2 linked regions of the Styela clava genome follow. Each later gene encodes a partner of the first gene's protein in a complex. Links are inferred from orthologs where the notes say so. Each region holds a gene or a part of one and is shown in the gene's direction. Other genes may lie near its edges.

Region 1 (9,992 bases):
ATAATCAAATATAAAAGTGAATTTGGGTTATGTTAATTAATTAATTGACATTAGTCGGTATTTGTGTCTTCGTTTATACATTTCCAAGGGATAACCTCTGTTGGCTGTGATCTCTCACCCATTTATTGTTAGTGTACTTATCGGACCAAAAAACCTTTATACCCAAGTTTTTTGACAAAAACTTCAGTTATCTGGGATTCACTACTTCAAAGCTGTTCCCTGATTGTATAGGCATGAACTGCTTTACTAAGTCTCGTGTCAATTGGTATTTATCTATGATTTTACAATTTATTTATATCTTTCAGTATCTCCCCATAACTTCGCTCACAAACAGGGATGGCCATTTCCGAATACTAAACTATTCCGAATACATTCTAAAATAATGTTTTCGAATCTGGAATTCCGAATACATTCTAAAATCGAAAATAACACATTTTTGTTTTAGTTTATTAAAACCCACTAAATCAGGAAATAAGCATCAATAGAAATATCAGAATGAAGCCACAGACCAACAGTATATGTACACAAAGTAATTGATAGTTTATAGCTATTAATAAAAAATAATAGCAACTTGTGACACAGTCAGTTTATTAAAATTATTCACTTTGTACAAATGACCATATGAAAAGATAGCCAAGGAGTTGTCTGATGCTTTCTATCATTGGTATCATGATATTACGATAATAGTCGAGTCTATTGACAAAAATACTACTTGCATTCAGATAATTGTGTATATTTTCTGAGAGTAATTAAATTTATTGGCAATACAGGCAACAACAATCGAAAATCCATCATGCCTTTAAAAATTCTAATATTTAAGCCTTGAGTATTCTACTACCTACCAGTATATTTGTATATAAATTTATGTGAACCATATTGTTATTATGTGTAACATATAGTTGTGTTTGGAGTTGGAAATAAATTAGTAGAGAATAGATGACCACCACTGCCAGCGCGCAGCCAGGATTTTCGAAATCGGAAATTCCCATTGCCGCCTGTAAGACCCACCGCGATTCCGCACTTGTTAAAAGAGCCGTCTTGTCAGCGTATAATGATCATTCTGTTAGGTAAAATATTCAATCCATGACAACTACGAGATTCTAAAATATCTTTATATATTAATTTAATGTGTCCAACATAACTCGCGGTTGCTTCTTCTTACGTCAAAAAAAAAAAACATTACTATTCGGTCCACGGCAATCTGTGACCGAAAATTACGAGATAAACTGCCTGATGTATTTAATTTTAATATGTATTTTTGCAATCTTGCCAACTCGTTATCGCCGTTAGAAAAATCTCAAATATTTATATAAATTCATGTTAAGTGTAGAGAATAATTCATTTCATACAATGAATATACATATAAAGTTTAGCAGTAAATTAGAAATACATATTCATCGCCGCGATTATGCCACCTGTTAGAAGAGTCGACTTTTACAACAAATAATATAACAACGAATATATATTTTTCTGTTGTGCAAAGTGATGAATTCGTGACCGACACGGGCATATTTAAAATGTCTTGCTCTTATTAATTTAATTGTCTTCAATTTATCCTGCGGTTGCGTCGACAAAATAAAATCCTAACCACTCTTATATACCGTTGCAAACCACGGCCATAAAAATAAAAACGTGAGGTAAACTGTCCGATTAAGTATTGTTTTTATCCGTATTTTGCGAATTCGGCAAATATTCAGATGTACTTGTTAACAGTGACTCCGCTCGATCGAAATGCTCAGAGTAAAATATCTCAGAGTAAAATTTATTTCATCACAATAAAATTGATTGAATATACTTTAGATTAATTATATTATATACATCCTCACAACCAGGGAAAAAGTCGCGTTTCATTCAAACCTTGTATCGTGTTAACACGAAAATATTCGACGGCAATTTAAATGGATAATCAGGCAAATCCCGCCCTCAATTAGTGACGATATGTTTCTAAACGCCGACCAAACATAATGTGTGCCAGAGGCACACGAATTTTGCGATTTTCACTGCCTAGAAAAGCGTTTTTTAAATTTTCCCGGGCCTCAATAAAACTTATGTTGTTCACGGTTTTATTTTCAGTATTTTAAATTGCCGCTTTTCAATCAAAAAGTTGCGTTGTCTTTAGAAACTCGCCGCCGATGAACGTATTTACCAGATTCACAATTCCGTGCGCATACAAAAATAAAATAAATGTTATCGTTATCGTGGAACAAATTTGTGGAAAATTTTCGTTTCAGAGAAAATAACACAATCGTAAAGGCGTTTACGGGCCTAAATAACACGTTACGCTGATGAGTGATGAAAACAATCACGCGCAAGTTTTCTATCGAGAATGTTTTCATTCAACGGAAACATCTTGAAAACGGCGTCGAAAATGAGTGACGTCACACAAATATCCGATATTCTTATGAACTTGAATTCCGATATTCGAATGACGAGATATTCGAATACATTCGAATACTTTATTCGAATTGGCCATCCCTGCTCACAAAGATCAAATTCTATGACTAATGAAAATCTGTTGAATATAAATCATGTTACCTGTCCCGCCATTGTAGTAGCCAACACTTCTGCTCTTTTTTCTCCAGCAATTTTATCTGCTGCTTTCAAAAATATTTGAACCCTATCTTCAACTGGTTTTCTTTCCCATTCAGCCCGAACAGAAAGACAGTTTTCAATAGCTTTGTTTATGAGGTCAGAAGAAGCATAACAAAACTTTGCTATCTTTTGCTTGTGGTTATACGGCTGTAGAAAAACATAGACAAAATATGGTATAATGGTATATCTAGATATTAAAAAAATTATGTCAAATATGAAATAGCGATGAAAATAAAGCAAATGTATTCTGAAAGTATCCAACACATTTACATAACCTAACGCTGATTCGCTGAACATAAATAAAAAAAATTAAACAAAAGTGTGCACAGTTTATAATGAATAATCCCATCAAAGTGAAAATCAGACATAACAATAGATTTTATCTTCGTTATCTTTTCCCTGCTTTCTTTACAGTGCAAACCAGAAGGATAGGTTAGGATTTCACGGACTTAATCATAAGGCATACCACAGCCTCTCATCCAGTTACCAGTCTATATCGGGTATGGAATTAGTTAGCCAGATATTTATGAACTATTATTATGAACTTGAGCGAGTGGATGGTTGGAACATGAACCACCTTGAGGTGAGTCTAGCAATCCTCTCACATATAATCATCCCCTACAGGATTCAACTCATGTAAAGTAACGGGAAGTGCGATGGCAAGTGTATTCCTAACAGTTGGTGCAATTCGAACTTACCGAGACTTGATAATGAATGTCGTTTGTTTTAACATGTTCACCGCCAATAACAATAGGTATGTCTTCAACACGAGATTCAACTAATTTCAAAGCATCCAAAACATCTTGTCTTTCTTTTGATCCAGGAGTAAAGTCATAAATCGGTTCATTCTGAACTGATAGACTTCTCGCAGTTATTTGTAACCTTTCAAAAAGGAAAAGATTTTGAATAAAATGCTTAGCAAATATTTTGTATTGACCATTGCTGTATTAAAAAGTAAAATGTCAAGTATTGCCCTACTACTGTACAAACATTATTTAAGGATTGAACTATACACTCAATTATATCAGTATCAATTGGAAATAAACAGTAAAACATGTTTGGTTATAAATTCCGGGAGAAAGACCAGCAGCTATGAGAACTCAGGAATTGTTCTGTAACAACAAAAAATCTGCAGATACAGAGATATCTAATCTATCTGCACATAATTTAAATTTAGGAACTCGTACAAAGAAATTGACCAACTTGCTAAAGCACAAACAGTGGGAAATAGCATGAAAAAGACCATGGGATAACATTTTTTATATCTTTCGGTGAATATCTGTATATAGAAAAGTTGATGCAACAGCTTAATTCAGTAAGTACAGGTACCAAAAAAGCCGATACCTAACAGCTTTTACCAGAATGTAATAAATTGAGTACACAATGCCAGTCCTTCAGGTTTAGCAACTGTATGAAGTACGGTATCAGTGGCTACCGTAACTATCTGACTATCAACCGTAATAGAGTCCTTCAAACTATGCAAACTATCATCCAAGACACGCAAACAAGAACCCGAAATCGAACAGCAATTTCTCTCGTTTTCTAGTCGCAACGATCCCGATAGGAGAGACATTGCTAACGTTAGTCAGTTCTCTATCGTCGGCGCCGATGCCATTTCGGGCAATCGTACGAGTATTTGGCAAGCTCTATGATGTGATTTTGACGTCGCAGTGACGTAATTTTTGGATGGCGTAGTCAGGTTAGGGTCTCATGTAGTTTCGTACCTAACGTACTTCTAGTAGGCGTAGCATAACAATTTTCTCATGTGTTAATCGTAACCCCCACCTGACCACACCATCCAAAAATTACGTCACTACGACGTCACAGTGACGTAATAGAGCTCTTCAAACTATGCGAACTGTCATCCAAGACGCGCAGACGAGAACCCGAAATCGAACAGCCATTTCTCTCGTCGCAACGATCCTGATAGGAGAGAGATCGCTGACGTTAGTCAGTTCTTTATCGTCGGCACCGATGCTATTTCGGGCGATCGTACGAGTATTTGGCAAGCTCTATGACGTGATTGTGACGTTGTAGTGATGTAATTTTCGGATGGCGTAGTCAGGTGAGGGTCAGGATTGGCATGTCAAAAAATTGTTATGCTACGCCTACTAAAAGTACGTTAGGTACGAGTACGAAACTACACGAGACCCGCTCTGAGTGCAGGAGTGAAGCACTGGAACACTTCTCTCTTTATAGCAAATTTTTGGAAGCCTCAAAGTATATGTATTGATATTAAAAATTACGCACCTGTGTTGCTTTAACCCGGTAAATATTATCCTTCTTCCAGAAGACAACATTGCGCTATTCTGAATGCCGTACAGTTTAAACAAAACGTGTTGCACCGCGAACTGCTACACTCAAATGCAGATTCGGTCAATCCGCAAGGAAATCCGCTGTGTTGACAGTCCGTAGGTTTGGCTTTTCGCAGCCAATCAAATAATAGAAACGCGGAACGCCCATTTATCGGATCTGCTTCAACTGGGCCTCCCCCTCCTTTATGGGCCACAGGAATATTTTTAGGTGGGTTAGGAATCTATTAATAATTTGATTGTAGTAGCAATGAATTATCCTGCTGTTTTTTGCTACAGAGTGGTAGTTTTTATTCAAAGTAAGTGTCTATTTTGTTTTGTTTAGAACTTTTGTTTTTCTCGTACTTTTTCCTTTTAAAAAAATTTGGTGCAACTTAAATGCGTAACGAGAGAAAAAAAAACTGGCTCACTGGCTCGGACAGATTTTCTTGGACCAATGCCGGAGGTACTAATTATTTGACATGGAAACTTATAAAGATATTTTACAGCCACCAACAAAAAATTGAACCAATTGGCTTGGTTTAAAAATTACATACATTTGAATCATTTGTCGTGTATTCCAATTTTAGAAAAAATGTCAAAAATATTATTCCGCATGATGGTGCACAGGATTTTTGTTCCCATCTGTACTTTGGAGGATTATCACAAAATATTACGAGTTATGAATGTTGGTCGTACCGTCCAGTGGTTTTAATTAAGATGGATTATAGCCTAGTGAGATAAAAAAGTTTTTTCAGTTGTATTAAAAATAAACAATTGCGAGTTAAAAAATATTTATAAAACATGTATTTTACTAGAACTAAATAATCAGTGTTTTTCACATTTATCATTAATTGAACGTAATGCAGTCATACTTCTTCTGTGTACTGCAAGATATAAAATATGGTTAGAAAGTAATGCAGTTATTTTTGAAAATGTTAATCCAAGTGTAAATAGTGTCATAACAAGAATTAGAAAATCCCTTTTAGCAAGGAGAAATATAGAACAACTTAGACATAATCCTAGTTTTATAAAAGAACTAGACATAATTTGTAAGATTCTATGACTAATTGTATAAATTTTTATTTTTCTGCTATAAATTAAAAACATATAAATTAATGTATATTTACTGATAAACATGGGAAACTTTATCTGGAATCAACAATGGAATAATATGAATTGCTGGATAATACTGGATGATGTTTACGAATATATTTGTTTATTATATGTAACTATGTTCTATGATTATTATTTTTTCATCATTTATTTATTTTTACAAAACTGTTATGAATCCACAACGTGGACCTTTAAAAAAAAAAAAAAAAAGAGATAAAGAAGTTAGTGTTTTACAAAACTCGAATAGAATAGAAGACTTCAGTTTATACATATGTACTTAATTATTTGATTTGTTTGCAGGTCAAAAAATTATGCAGGTGTCAGTTCACACCGTTTTCAAAAATGTAGTTCTTAATGCTTGGAAAGAAAGATGGAGTGAACAGAAATGGACTTCAACAATGAGAAAATTACTACAGCCAGGGAATGTTGTTGACATGTTTCATATGGCTGATGTTCTCTTCTCTCAAGCATTCATCGGAAGCACACCTAATACAGTTCTTCTTAGTTATTTTAATTACGGACTCAAATCGGGGACTTTGTCTTATGCAGCTATATTGACTGCCATTTCTAAACATGAGGATCTTCAAAACACTGCTAGCATGGATTATACTTTGAATATACTCATGAAATATATAGAAAAACTAAACAAGGGACAAATTCTAGAAGACAGCATGGGCCTGTGCAAAGCTTTGCTTGTGATTTTGCAATGGCTTTTGAGAAATATTGAACAATATTTAAAAAGGGGTTCAGGAACTTCTGGAGTTGAAGCTGAGAATTTGCAAATTCAGAAAAACTGCTCAACTTTGCATTCCTTAACTACATTACCGAGAACTGCATCTCTTCTGACTATTGCAAGATTTGAGGAGAGCAGTGTTTGGAGCCATATTGAAACTGATCTCGCTGTAATTAAAAATGCTGCTGTTGGACATAACATGCAAAATGATGTTAATGTATCATGTAATAGTGTATCTCAACTTGCTCGCTGTAATACAAAAACATCTGCAGTATTCTGTTTGCCAAAAATACAAGGAAATGAATCTCATCATGGCATGTTGGTGAATATGTTTATCCTCCTAGAAGGTGAATGGAATAAAATGACTGATCCTGATACTTTAATTCAACAATTGCTGTTGCTCTCTCAACTTTGTGATCTCAATGTTTCAGAACTGTGTCTGGACTTGATACGAGCCTGTATGATGGGATTCTTAGGCAGCATTGATGGAGATAGGAAACACAAATGGTCATCTGTACTTTTTCTTTCACTTCCCCAACATCTTAAAAGACTTAAATCTGCTATTGTGTCAGGAAATGGTTCAGATTTTAAAAAGCTGTCTTTAGAAACAGATTTTGAAGATGCGACGGCAAGTGCTTTTTCAGAATTATTGCAATATGACAGTCTTCTAGATGTGTTAGACCAAATTACTGGAAATTGTGATTGCCTAAGTTGGCTCATTGATCGTTGCCTATCTTTCGGCATATTAAAAGAAGATGCTGCAACAGAGCTGAAAACACGAAGACTCAGCATGGCCAAAGTTTCATCACAGCATCCAACACACGCAGTAGAACCGAGCAAATTGATAAAATACGAGGCAACTGCCCGTCAGTTACTTTCAGTCATAGACACTTCTGCTGATTATATTTCTAAACAAGAAAATTTGCTTGCTACATTGAGTCAAATGTCAAGTAACTTTAATATTATCTTGGCAAGTGGCTCAATCACACACAATGTACAAAAGTTTGCTAAAAAATTAATATTGTTTAATGATGTTGTGAAATCCAGCACTGCCGAAGGCGGTAAAAGTGCACAAATGAGATGTCTTCTTTTTGATTTTACGCATTTTCTAGTCTGCCAAATTGCTGAACAGTATGGAAAAAACGTTGTTTTAGGATCTATGGCAGACATGGATTCTAGTAAATACTTTCTATACAACTGGATATCTGTTTACTGGCCTGATGATAGAGGTCAAATATTGAGAAATAGTAAAAGCGAACTTGATGTTGATGACTCTCGTATTAAAATGTATCTTGAATTGTTACAAAACAAAAGGGAACGAACTCAAGAACAATCGTGCAGTATAAAAAAATGGCATGAGATGTGCACCAATTTGCCAAGAGCATTCATCGAATTGGTAAAGGCATGGCAGTACAAAGTTGTGAGCAAAGCAGATGTGTTGGGTGCCTGTGATGTCATATGTAATATATTATCATTGTCTATCAGACTGACTTGTCTTGTTGAAGTAGCCAAATATGCTTCAACCGTTCCAAAACTATTCTGGAAGGAATTGAAAGAAGTCGTTGAAAAACTTTCAACGCATGGATTTATATCGCCACCCGGTCAAGAAATACATGCAGCAAAACGTACAAACATGTTTAAAGGTATATTGGAAGTGTTGATGCCAAATTCAAACCTACCTGGTGCACAGGATAACGAGCCTGTGAAATTTCCAGCTGATGTTCTTTCCGATTTAATAACAGAGTGCAGAGAGACAGGCTGGATAGGAAGAAATATGCTCTGTCGACTTGAAGCTGTTTTGAAGCGGTCCGGTGCCAAATGGTTTTGCCATCAACTTGTTTCACAGTTGTTGTCACAAACTCGCAAAGATATTGTTGAACGAACAGCTACTGTTGTGGGTGGAATATTTTTGTTAGATGTTGAGAGTTTTGTCATTTGCTTGTTAAGACACGAAATTCCGCACTATTTGACTGATGAAGCTGATCACATGATTCTCTCTGCTCCTGCAGGAAATGTTTTAGCACAGCTTGCTGTTAGCTGTCTTGCTATAGTTCTTCATAATATATCTTTACAACAAAAAGCTTGCCTTTCACAAAAAACAGCAAAAGAAAAGCTATCGCATCAACTTCTAATGTCTGGAAAAGAGTCATTGGCTTCTCATCAAGTACATTTCCAAGATGAAGTCGGACCCACTAAGTTGCGAAGACTTTTCAGTTCGACTGCAGAGCATGATTTGGCAGCAAGTGCGTTTTCATCTATACTTGGCCGCGAAAATTCTGCCACAGCTCAGTCTAAGCATTCTCATGTAAGAGAACCAGTATTGAGAGCACTTAGTTACGCATTAGATATTATGAATATGTCGCTTGCTGAACGACAACCCGGTCCTCATATTGACTTTGCAGTTTACTTCGTATATCTGGCATCACTGTGTGGCGAATTGGTTTCTCAAGCTGTTTTGCAGCTGATGCCATTAACCATGGTCACAGAACTGGCTGCTATGGCTAGTGATGGCACTTTCAAAATTTCCAAGTTTGATAAAGAATTTGATAGTTTTAATTTTGTGTTATCTGTATCTGACCTTGGCCACACTTTCAGCAGAAAAGTGGCTGCAAAGGCAATTTGTCAAATGGTTCTTCCCGAATAAGTCGATCATGTTGGAACATGCTCTTTAAAATATATATGATATCAAAGAATATAAATGGCTTGTGTTTCGAGAGTATATCTGGTTTCAAGCCCTAAATCTCAGCGCAGTTTAAAATATTTGACATGTCATCCCAATTTGAATAGATTTTACATATTTATCCCGGGGAGAGAAAGCCGGTTGGACCATGACCTCCCATCCGTTTACCAGTCCATGTCCGGGATCTTGCATCTAGCATTGTTACTTATCGATCTCTAGATCGGCAAGTATGTTGATAGGTATTTGTCTGTTAGATGCACGCGATATCTCACGAAGTCGTGGTTGAATCTGCTCCAAATTTTGCATATGCATTTATCATATCTCGGACCAGAAGCCTGTTGATTTTGGATGAATTATGTCGTATAATTAGCGAGTTATTAATTAATTAGTGATGAGACACGCGGTGTCACTATAGATTCATGAATCGAAACCGCAGTTTCGATCGATAAGTCTTCGATCTCCGATCAATATTCTTGTTTGCCAGTTATTGGTTTCAGATGCATGGACTTAATTGTGCAGCAAGCTGTAACCGACCAGCGATTATGTGAACAATCCAGCAACGGCGAGGAGTCCAGTCTCA
Region 2 (10,727 bases), on another chromosome or scaffold:
CACTGTTTGCGGACAGCACTTCGTTGATGGTGAGTCATCATGTGCCGTTATCAAATTTTTAAATATTCATAAGCTCCCTCATTTCAATGGAAAGCAGATAACAAACTACTGTTATTGGTAGGTCTAGGCGTAGGCCTACTTGCAGACGTGACTCGTGTAAGGTATTAATCAATAATTGCCATAAGGTTTTGTTTTCCTAGTTAGCAGGTAATTTATCAGTAAGTGTAAAAAGTTGAATAGATAACTAAAGTTTAACGCCAGTGCTAATAAAAAAAATAACCAGAATTCAATTGAATTCTCAATCTAAGTATACGCTCGCCACCGCATCTCTGATCCCCCAGGGAGTTTCACTGGTTCCAATCCCATGCGGGGATAGTTATGTGCGAGGGGATTGCAGCTCTCTTCCCACTGAGGGTTCACACGACCGTTGGTCGATTACGACATCCCCCGCCATCAAGTATAGGATTCTAAAACAAATAACTGGCTAACTAATCCCGACATAGAATGGTAATCGTACGATGTTGCACCTTGCAATCTGTCCCCAACCACAGATAAATTCTGTCCTGAAAACTACCCATATTGGTAGGCATAGTTGCGTTTTAAATTGAAAGAAATTTTCATTAATTGTCAGAAGGTGTTGTCTGATTGTTTTGTTAGTTAGCAGGTAATTTATTACTGATCAGATACACAAACTTGGCACTGTCAAATGATGATTAGTGTTGATTTATTTTCAGGAAAAAGGGAAGATAACCCATTATCAGCTGCTTATATGTCCCATCGATATTGGAATTTTTGCCATCCCCAGAGAGGAAGAGAATAGTTAGAAAAAGGGGGATTTTAAAGAAAGGCAAAAGGCAGGACCATTTCAACAAATTCTGTTAACTTGTATGCGTTGCAATATTAATTTGCAGTTGTTTGCATAAACATTTAATGTGTCTTTCGACTAGACCTATACAAAGCCGCCTACACCCCTTTTAACTAGAACCATAATACTGTAAAATATTTGATAGAAATTACCCCCGAGGCATCATATCTGCCATTTGAAAGGGCTGTGGAGTCAGATACATTTTTTACTCTAAATTATGGAATGTTACTTCCAGGTTATCTTATCCTTGCTTATAGATATCTTGAGGTTAGTGACTCCAACCAATGACATTAAACCACATGATAGGCAACTCTGACGTCACTCTATAAGACTACATGCGAAAGATTGTATTTCATGATACGCTCCAATGCACATATTTCTCGTCGCCTTTCGCGACGGTTTTCCGCTTGCTTTTGCTACTCGGCGTCTTCTTTACGTGTAGTACCTGCCTTTTTGCGCCTGTAACGAAAGAAAATAATCTCTATATCTGAGAAGTTTTGCTCATTTGGAAAGCTGGAATGGCAGACAAGCTGTAAAGAGTAATTCTGAACATCATAGACGTTTTTTTTATCAGAGAATATTACAAACGCGATAGCGTAAAGATTTGTGTGAAACATTTTGCAGATAATGACAAAGTTCAAAGTTAGTAATTTTAATGTTTGCGCTTAAACATTGAAATTTCATTTAAAGAGGGTGTCATACAAAACAGCAAAACTGTTTTTACTTCTCTTAAAGGTGCTGTGATACAATTCCATAACACAAAGTTTGCACCTATCGAACTTGTTTTAGTAGGTGAATTTATTAGACATATAACATATTCAGTTAATCGTAGGTAACATTACTGGTACATAATGCCTCGTAGATAGGTTTGTGTCTAAATTTAGGAATTTAGCTCATAGCCCGCTAATTAATATTATCTTCTATGCAGGAGATTGCAGGGCTGATTCAACTTGCAGCCTTACCAATCACCTGACGATGCTCAATTAGTTTGTCTCGAGCAAGTCTTCTTGAAAGACTTGTGTGAATGGAGACTACCTATATGTTTTGCCTTCCTCCGATTTTAGAAGACAAATTCAATCTGAGGAATTTTGCATATATATAATTCTCATTGATTGTTGGCTGTTTATAATTCCTATTAAATGTGAATTCTGATTATATCAAAGAGTTCAACATTTTTTACGTAATTTACGGGCACTTTTTTCTTGTCAATACTCCAAGCTGAGGTAATAAGCAAGACAATACATTCATGTCATCTGAAAGCAAAATATACACACTAATTAAAAGTTTGACACATTGAGATAATACATCATGACAGAAAATACAAAGATACAGTATGTATGACCATCACATGGTAATTAAAATTAAAAAAAAAATTAAGAGAGGCTGTGGAGTATGAAAAGTTGAAGACAAAGAAAAGAACAAAAGTTCATAGCTCATGAACTCTCAATTCTGCCTCCATTGCTTTGTGAAGGCCAATATATTCCGAGTGGCTGAATTGGTTTACCTTTATGATAGCAACGGTTTTGTATTTAATATAGCGAGATTTTTTTTCAATTTAATTGAAGTGATATTATTTCCCAAAGGAATGCTTGAATCGTCTAGAATAGATCAGTGGTGTCAAACTCATGGGTTTCGAGAGCCGCATTGCATGTTGGAAATTGTAAAAAGGGCCGCAAACAGTTTTTGATAATGTATACTCGAGAGATATTTTTCAGATAGTTTTAGTTTGTGACATATATTGTGATGCAACTAATCAGTTGGATTAAGTTTTATTATTTTCTTTAATTTCAAATGCAATTACATATTATTATTTGCATTCAACTATTATTGCAAGTTACTGTATTTATTACAAAAAATCATAAAATTCCATGTACAACCATCAAAATCATTTTTGAACAAGCCTTGGTTAAGGAAAGAATAAAATATACACTAAAAATGACTTAATCTAAATATATGAACCTAAAATTAACAAAAATACTACAGTATAAACTCAATGTTTTTTTAATTACATTTGTCCTGACGTTTGGCATCTTCTTTGTGTCACCAGCATACTAAGGCCAGGCTGAAATGATTTTATAGTACCAACTCTAACTAACGAGGTCACATGATCATGGGTTAATCTGTATCTTTGCAAAAGTTTAATTAATTCCAGTAATGCAAAAAAGTTACTTTTATCATTTCATGTATGGATCAGTAAAAATAAAAATGACAGATTTTTTCGACAAGACATTTCACGCTACATTGCATGGCATAGGATTGCTTGAAATATTATTGATATTGATTTTTAGTAACTAAGTCGTTGTATATTTATATTAATATACAAACACATGGAAATTTTCTGTTCGGAGTTGGTCTTCGAATTTGTCATATTGACTGCTGAGCTTATTGTGTTTTTTCATTGTACTGATGGAAATATGACAAATTTAACAATGTGCTTCAGAATTTTGTGAAATGCAGAAATATTGCAACTCCCATTTTCTTCGAAAATGCCACCTTCTTCGTGTACTTTAATTTAATCACTCAAGTGTTTTATTCAGTATTCTTTTGCTAGCTTGATGTGTATTCTTAATTGAGTCAAAATGTGAACAAAAAAAAATTAACTTTCTAAAACTACTTTCAGTAAATTGTTTTCTGTGTGAATATTCAATTTCACTTTAAAAGGTTTGAAAATTCCAAAATACTATTACAATTATTGTTAAGCGTTCGAGGGCCGCACTGGAAGTTCTCTGGGGCCGCGAGTTTGACATCCCTGGTCTAGATTAAAGTTGTCTAAAATATATAACATTATTTTATCATGAATCATGATTATACCCTTTCCTGAATTTCTTCTATAGTACTACCAAAATTTGATGAACCAAATATAACACAGGTGTAGTCAGTGAACCGTAATCCTCATTTTTCAAAGCTGTTTTAAGTATGTCTGGCATGTTTTGTGCCTTTTTACAAAGGAGACCGCTTATGCAATCTGGAATTTTTAGTTATTTCCCTCAAGCCCTGCAGGATGTAGGGGCCATACACAACTTTACCGGAGGGTCAAATGTCTTTGCATTCCTCCATAGGTTGTTCTTCTATTGCAAACATTTATGGAGTATTCTAATCATATTTCTTGGAATCAAACTGTCACTGATATGTCGCCAGACTTCTGATATCTCCCCTTCAGCTACAGTTGTCCTGTGAATAAATAATAGGAAATTGAGGTTAGACGAATAGTTGAAAGTTTTGTTTTATGTCGGCCTAATTTCTTGATTGATATACTCACTATTATTGCTATTGCCTCTTGTGCTGCAGGAGTCTCACAATGCTTAGACAGGTCTGTCCACAACTTTCACATCTGTAGGAGAGGAGATGTATTAATTTTCGTTAAGAATAAATAAAGCAGTCTATATGATTCAGAATGGAAAAGCTAATAAACCCAATATCTTATGTTTTTTGTAAAAAATGTTTTACTGGATTTGGTATATAAACCAACTAATGAAGGGGTTTAGTCAGAAAATTATAAGCATTCGTGGCTCCAAATACTTGAGAGATCAGACTATACAATATAGACCGGTATGAGTGAAATTTTAGGTGAAGTTGTTAACCCGTTGATTCAATACGCAAATAAAAGTGAATGAGCAATAGTATGTTACAGCAATAAGTATATATCCTCACTGATTAAAAAAATCTAAATGGAGGTGCATGAACTATTTGAAACCATAAGGGGTAAGTAAATATGCAATTTCGGCAGATGGCCAACTACGTACCGTACTGAATTATAAACTTCGTAGTATTTGACAAAAGCTGGCTTTCCCGCATGTACTTAACAGTGCGATGCCCGGGTGTGATATACAACAATAGTATTTACCTTACTTTTTTCCGATTTCTTTTTACCTTCAATTTTCCACATATCATTAAAAACCACAACAATTGTCGAAGCAGGCTCGAACACCATTCGTGCTATGCCTTGAAAGCAACACACATCCGCTCGTTTTCGTCTCGTCAAGTATGTGCATTGGAGCGTGCTATCGAATACGATCTTCGGCCAAAAATGCCGGAGTTGCGCATCATGTTGTTTAATGTCATTGCTCCAACTGACCCATGCATGCCACACTGAAAATTCTCTTGTGTACCCATAAAATAAGGCTGTTGGAGCCTTCAGTCATTGAAAACAGTCGAATCTGAGCACGATGGATTTGTTTTCAGAAGCATGGACTTGGATGGTGGGGAATGGTCGTAACCGATCAGTGGTCATGTGAACCACCCTCGGTGGGAGTAGAGATACAATCCTCTCGCATCCTCTCTGTAATTGAAACCTGTGAAACTCTCAGGGTGATCAGAAATGCGGTGGCGAGCGTATTCCTAGATGGCGAATTCAATTGAATTCTGGTTATTTTTTGCATGACCACTGTTGTTAAACTTTAGTTATTTATTCAACCTTTCACACTTAGTAATAGATTACCTGCTAATTAGGGAAACAATACCCTATAGCAATTGATTATTAATTCCTTACTGTCTTACACAAGTTAAGTCTGCAACTGCAAGTAGGCCTACTAATAACAGTAGTTTGTCATCTGCTTTCCATTGAAATGAGGGAGCTTGTGAATATTTAAAGAAATTGATAACGACACACTATCACCCCATTATCACTCACCATCAACGAAGTGCTGTCCGCGAACAGTGAAACACATGTAAGATGGCTTCTGGACTTGACACCAAGCTTTTCTGCCAATGCAATAGGCAATCAGGCAACAGATGATATCCACATTGCGCGACGTTCCGGATCTTTTGAAATCAGTGGAATATAACTGAAGATCCATTTCGTTGTCTATACTATACGTACAGCCAACGGTACAATACGAAATAACCATTTTCAACAGCCAAACAAAACGGAAACGTATAATCCGACTTGCGACTGACAGGAGCCAAATGGACGTTTTTGTTTTATTGCCGTCCAGTAACAGAGTCACGTGACCTGTGCAAGTGGATTCCTAAAATTATATAGCGCTTTGTGCGGTGGGCTTAATCTAAGATCCTGGCCGACGGGGAATCCCCTTTCAATGTAGTCGTTTGCTCGCAGTCGTAGCCTAGCTTGTTATCTGTATAAACAACAAGAAAATGGAGCTTGTTTATCGGATTAGTTCAAATGCAAAGTCATCAGTTCAATCTCTCGGCCACTCCAGTAGTTCTAGTCCCATATCTGCAACATGGTCATGCAATAATCTTTTGGCATATCCATGGGAAAAAGTAGTCAAAGGTTGGTTTCTTTCTGCCATAATGAAGTTTGCTTGTTGCTTTCGTATCGTTTTAGTTTTTGAAAGTGTTCAAAACAATGTCAATTCAAAAATCAAAATTTAGAAGCCTTGAAAATAAATAGAGTTGAATTCCAACTTAGCTCTGTAGCTTGATGCCTGTAATAACTGAATGCAGTAATGAAAGCTTTTCAAAATATAGTAATATTTAACAAATAAATCAGTGGAGCCCATCATCTATTCAAATGTCAGTGGCTATTAAAACTCTCAAAAACCACTTATGATGTAATAATTTAGTTCCTACTAAGAAGAAACTAACATTATACAGTTATATGGATTACAAATGATGCAATTATGCAGTTTATGGCGAAATGAAAAAAATGTGTAAAATATAAATAAAAAAGTTTGTTGACATGCATCAACTTATTTTTACGACTCGCGAGTTATATTATGTGAACCGCTATGATGTGTAATTAGTGAGGAGTAGGGCTATATGGCTTTATGCCTCCTCTGGCATTGAATCTCCAGTGCTTTTAACAAAAAAACTGTTGTAATCACTTCACAAGAGCCAGAGCTTGTAGAACAAAGAACCGAATGCGGCTCAGAACACTCGGGTTGCCGATTGCTAATATATCTGTATATAGTATGCTAATGCCATAATCCATATTCAGGATACACAGAAAGATATGTCAGCATCATTGATCCAAATCAGCCATGGAATGTCCACACAATATCATTCGATAAAGCTTCTGTAAAAACTTTGCAATGGAATCAAACAGGTAAATTGAACATTTCAGCTATTATTAGATCGTCTAGATTTTGACCTTTTTTTCTATTCACATATAAATATACATCAACTGTAAACTTTAAAAAAATCAGTGTTTCAGTAGGGACGTTTGATAGACTGTGGTACCATCTGCAGTCAACTTTGTGAAAATGATTAGTGCTTGCTATTACACGTGATCAAGGATCAAGCGTGAATTTTGCTTATAATTTTATAATTAATTCTTATAATTTTGATGAGTCATCTTTGAGGTGTGTGCTAATGCAGCGGGATATCGTTAGGCTAGTCAGCTCGCTACCCTGATTTTTAACTCTTGTAAATACGTTTTCCATTGAACCTGATATTCAAGGACTTGTTAAAGTGCAGCAAAGGATATACTCATCTCATTGAAAGTAACAATCAAATTATGTCTTGTTTTATTTACATGTTCAATAAAATACAAAAAATGGTTACGTACCAAAAAAATAAACATACAGACACTTTCCAGACATTTTTGAGATACAGAAAGTTGGCATTTAATTCATTTTGAGCGTGTATATCTTTGTTTCTGTAACAAGGCAACAAGTTACTCTGCTCAACTTCAACTGGTTTTTGCAATGTATGGATTTCATCAAATCATCTGACAAATGTTTGGAAAGAAAAATCGACTTATGGATGCGACTTACAAGGGGAAGATATTTTGGCCTCATCATGGCTATCGAATGGACGAAAGGTACTTTGGCGTAGCTATCGTTATTTTTTGGAGCTGCCTAGCACACAGTTCAACTTTTAAATATTTTATCTTATATATTATAATCCTGAAACATGATCCCTTTTTCTAAAACAGACTTATATTAATTCAGAAGTTATTTGAATTAGTTTTCAGCTTCAGTCTTTATTATACAACTTCAATTTGATTGTGTTCAGACTTCAATTCAAAATTTGAGCAATAACTTAGGCTCAGCGGTGGGACGCATTATGAAAAGCGTCAGGAATACACTCGTCACCGCACCTCTGATTACCCTGCATGAGTTCGCAGGTTCGAATCACATGCGGGAATAGGTATGTGCGAGAGAATTGCTGGACACTCGCCTCGTAGGCTGGTACACGTAACCACTGGTCTGTTTCGCATCCTCCATCATCAAGTCCGTGCTCCTGAAAACAAATACCTGGCTAACTAATTTCATACCCGACATTGTAATTCTGGACTGCAGAAAGCATTTATTTGAGTGAAGTTGTGAAATTTCTCACAATTCAAATATATCTTTTCTGTCAATGATATTAGATTTCAAATATTTAGATTTTGATCTCGTTTTTTTTATATGATATATAAACCAGATTATTTAGTAATGTGTGATATTGATGTTAAGAAATTCTATGTAGAGTAATAAAAGTGATAAAGAAGATAACAGAATCTTTCTCTATTATTTTATTTATATTCGCATGCTTTAGGTTGTGCTTCACGTGGACAAGTTGGACAATCCCAAAGAAAAAATATCGAGAGCTCATCACCGACCATCGCTTGCACAACTTGGTGGTCAACCAATGGAAGGGTGAGTTCTTGAAATATTACTTGTAAGTATGTATAAACTGAAATTCTTGTACTAAATGTAACTAAAATAATTTTTTTAGGTATATTTCTGTTACTGGGTCTGGACTTGTAGTCGTAAAATGTATTACTGTTACACAAGATGATGCACCAATAGTAGCGAAAGCGCAGCTGAGCAACACCGAAAATTTCATGTTGGCGGATATTGTATATTCAAGTAAATATGAGCATTCTTATCTACTCTATTTTCTTCTTTAATGTTTTTTGTGTGTTTTGATTTTTGATAATCTTTATGTAGATCAGGGAAATATTATCGTCATGGCAACTGATTGTGATGTCAACAACCCAATAAAATTTTGGACAATTGAGCTGCGCTACAACAATGACACAAACAAATTATCGCTTGAAGTAAGTTTTGTTCATGTGTTCTGTTGAGTTCTGCGAAACAAAATTGATGGTGAATTAAGTGAAAAATTTGATTCGTATTAACCCATGTATGGCAAAGTTCAACATTTTGATTTTTTAACCCAGGTTGATGTACTTCCCAATATTACTCTAAAATGTGTCGAAGATTCTGCTGGCAAATACAACTGTATAACTCACGCTCGATTTGTAACTGGAACGAGTACTGAATGTGTTGTGGTTAGTACAATTTAAAATTCCATTATTAATTTTAAAAAAGTATGAAATTTCAAATGCAGATATTGGTGAAAATAATATTCATTTGGTGCTATGATTGACGACATATATATGCATTTTCTATAAATATGGCTGCATATTATGAAAACTTGTTACTGTAGACCTAAGCTGGTTATAAAACATCACTCAAAACCAATTAAACTTAAGTTTGCATTTGTTTGAGATCACAAGCTAGTCATTGAAATACAGATATGTTAATGCATAAATTTTCTATATTCTGCATTATGCAATTATGTCATGGATCAGGGGTGTGCAACCTTTCTTAAAGGAGGGCCAGATAGAAATAACTCGATGAAACTGCGGCCGCACCTTTATTTAACATCTGTTTTCTAGTAGTTGCAGCACAAAAATTTTGGGTATTTATCTTATGATATGCATTGTTCGCTTTGCACAAGCTAGCTGTTAGGGTATTGTAAAGTCATGGGCGTAGATAATACATTGAACTCAAGTAGAGGGATTGGAACTACTGATTTAGAAACTCGTTTCGCGGGTCGCACAAAAATTCAAAAATTCCCACTTCTCCTTGGGCTGTACGATTTTTCCTTGGGGGCCGCATTTGGCCCGCCAGCTGCAGGTTGCTCAACCCTGCCTTAAATGTAACAGTTTGACTCAAACTTATTATATCGGTCAGAGACCGAAGACTTATTGTTCGAAAGATAGGGGATCCCCCAAAACAGAAACTGCGGTTTCAATTCGAAAAATTCTGCAAACCCGAACTGGATTGTTTTGAATAGTTTTCAGCCAATATCAAAAATGTAGGAACAATAGCCAACTCCCCATGTCGTCGTCGAAATACTACTCGAGGAAATACTTTTATGAAGAATTCTGCAAATCCGAACTGGATTGTTTACCAATCCTATATTTTGTGTCAAATACAACGGCGCTAACCCGGGTTGCGACGGCTATTCAAACACAGCCTAGCGATATTTTGGTGAGGAATCCTGCAACCCCGAACCTGAGAGGGATATGGACATTGCTTAAACTTTAAAGAGTAATTATAAGTAACGAGATACGATCTCGCGGCGTGTATCCTTCGCTCTGACTCAATAGCGTGGGAAATTTCTCGAAGGAAACTTGCGCATCGCGACGACGTCAAAGTTACAAGAGAGATATGGACAATGCTTAAAGATTAATCACGAGACACGATGTAGCGGTGTGTATCCTTCGCTCTGACTCACTAGCGTGAAAACTTGCGCATCGGATATGCACACACACATTCAACGCGTCTCGAAAATCTCTCGCTTTATAAAAATCCAGATCTCTTCATTACTTCATCACTAATTAATTAATAACTCGCTAATTATACGACATAATTCATCCAAAATCAATAGGCTACTGGTTCGAGATATGATGAATGCACATGCAAAATTTGGAGCAGATTCAACCATGCCTTCGTGAGATATCGCGTGCATCTAACAGACAGACATACAGACAAATACCTATCAACATACTTACCGATTAAAATCGATAAGTAATTATGTCTTATTTTTTCATTACCAGATTTGTGCAGCTGGTTCAACAGGGTCCACGGTAGAATCATGGATTCTGAAGAAAGTTCAACCACAAGTTCATCCTTCGTTTTCATCAATGTCTAATTCGATTGAGAAAATGCAGAAATGGCAA

The links.
Region 2: the proteins of mediator of RNA polymerase II transcription subunit 24-like (region 1) and mediator of RNA polymerase II transcription subunit 16-like are in contact, whole or in part, in a cryo-EM structure (PDB 7EMF), measured with the Homo sapiens proteins. The link is inferred for Styela clava from reciprocal best matches to the Homo sapiens genes MED24 and MED16. Residues at the interface, in NP_055630.2 of Homo sapiens: Ile539, Leu540, Asn541, His544, Pro545, Glu593, Arg629, Met630, Leu631, Gly632, Leu633, Asp634, Glu635, Asp676, Gln679, Gln680, Thr681, Ala682, Pro702, Pro703, Lys704, Arg705, Pro706, Ile707, Lys708, Glu709, His737, Met738, Gly739, Gly740; in NP_005472.2 of Homo sapiens: His29, Cys30, Pro31, Ser32, Arg52, Asp54, Asp55, Gln56, Glu82, Asp102, Val126, Glu127, Gly128, Asp129, Pro130, Val184, Ser185, Leu187, Thr203, Glu204, Ser205, Cys207, Arg208, Leu209, Arg210, Gly211, Arg212, Asp232, Gly233, Ser234.

The regions. Positions count from the first base shown.
Region 1 is NC_135252.1:17,333,013-17,343,004, forward strand, and holds mediator of RNA polymerase II transcription subunit 24-like, read left to right. Parts: upstream 1-5,015; 5' UTR 5,016-5,115; intron 5,116-6,299; 5' UTR 6,300-6,310; coding exon 6,311-9,376; 3' UTR 9,377-9,431; downstream 9,432-9,992. Other genes in the region: delta-1-pyrroline-5-carboxylate dehydrogenase, mitochondrial-like, read right to left, coding at 2,536-2,739, 3,291-3,474, 4,843-4,892. UniProt on the Homo sapiens protein: Component of the Mediator complex, a coactivator involved in the regulated transcription of nearly all RNA polymerase II-dependent genes.
Region 2 is NC_135264.1:6,223,264-6,233,990, forward strand, and holds the start of mediator of RNA polymerase II transcription subunit 16-like, read left to right. Parts: upstream 1-5,881; 5' UTR 5,882-5,959; coding exon 5,960-6,098; intron 6,099-6,764; coding exon 6,765-6,872; intron 6,873-7,434; coding exon 7,435-7,589; intron 7,590-8,308; coding exon 8,309-8,409; intron 8,410-8,488; coding exon 8,489-8,622; intron 8,623-8,703; coding exon 8,704-8,813; intron 8,814-8,936; coding exon 8,937-9,047; intron 9,048-10,604; coding exon 10,605-10,727. UniProt on the Homo sapiens protein: Component of the Mediator complex, a coactivator involved in the regulated transcription of nearly all RNA polymerase II-dependent genes.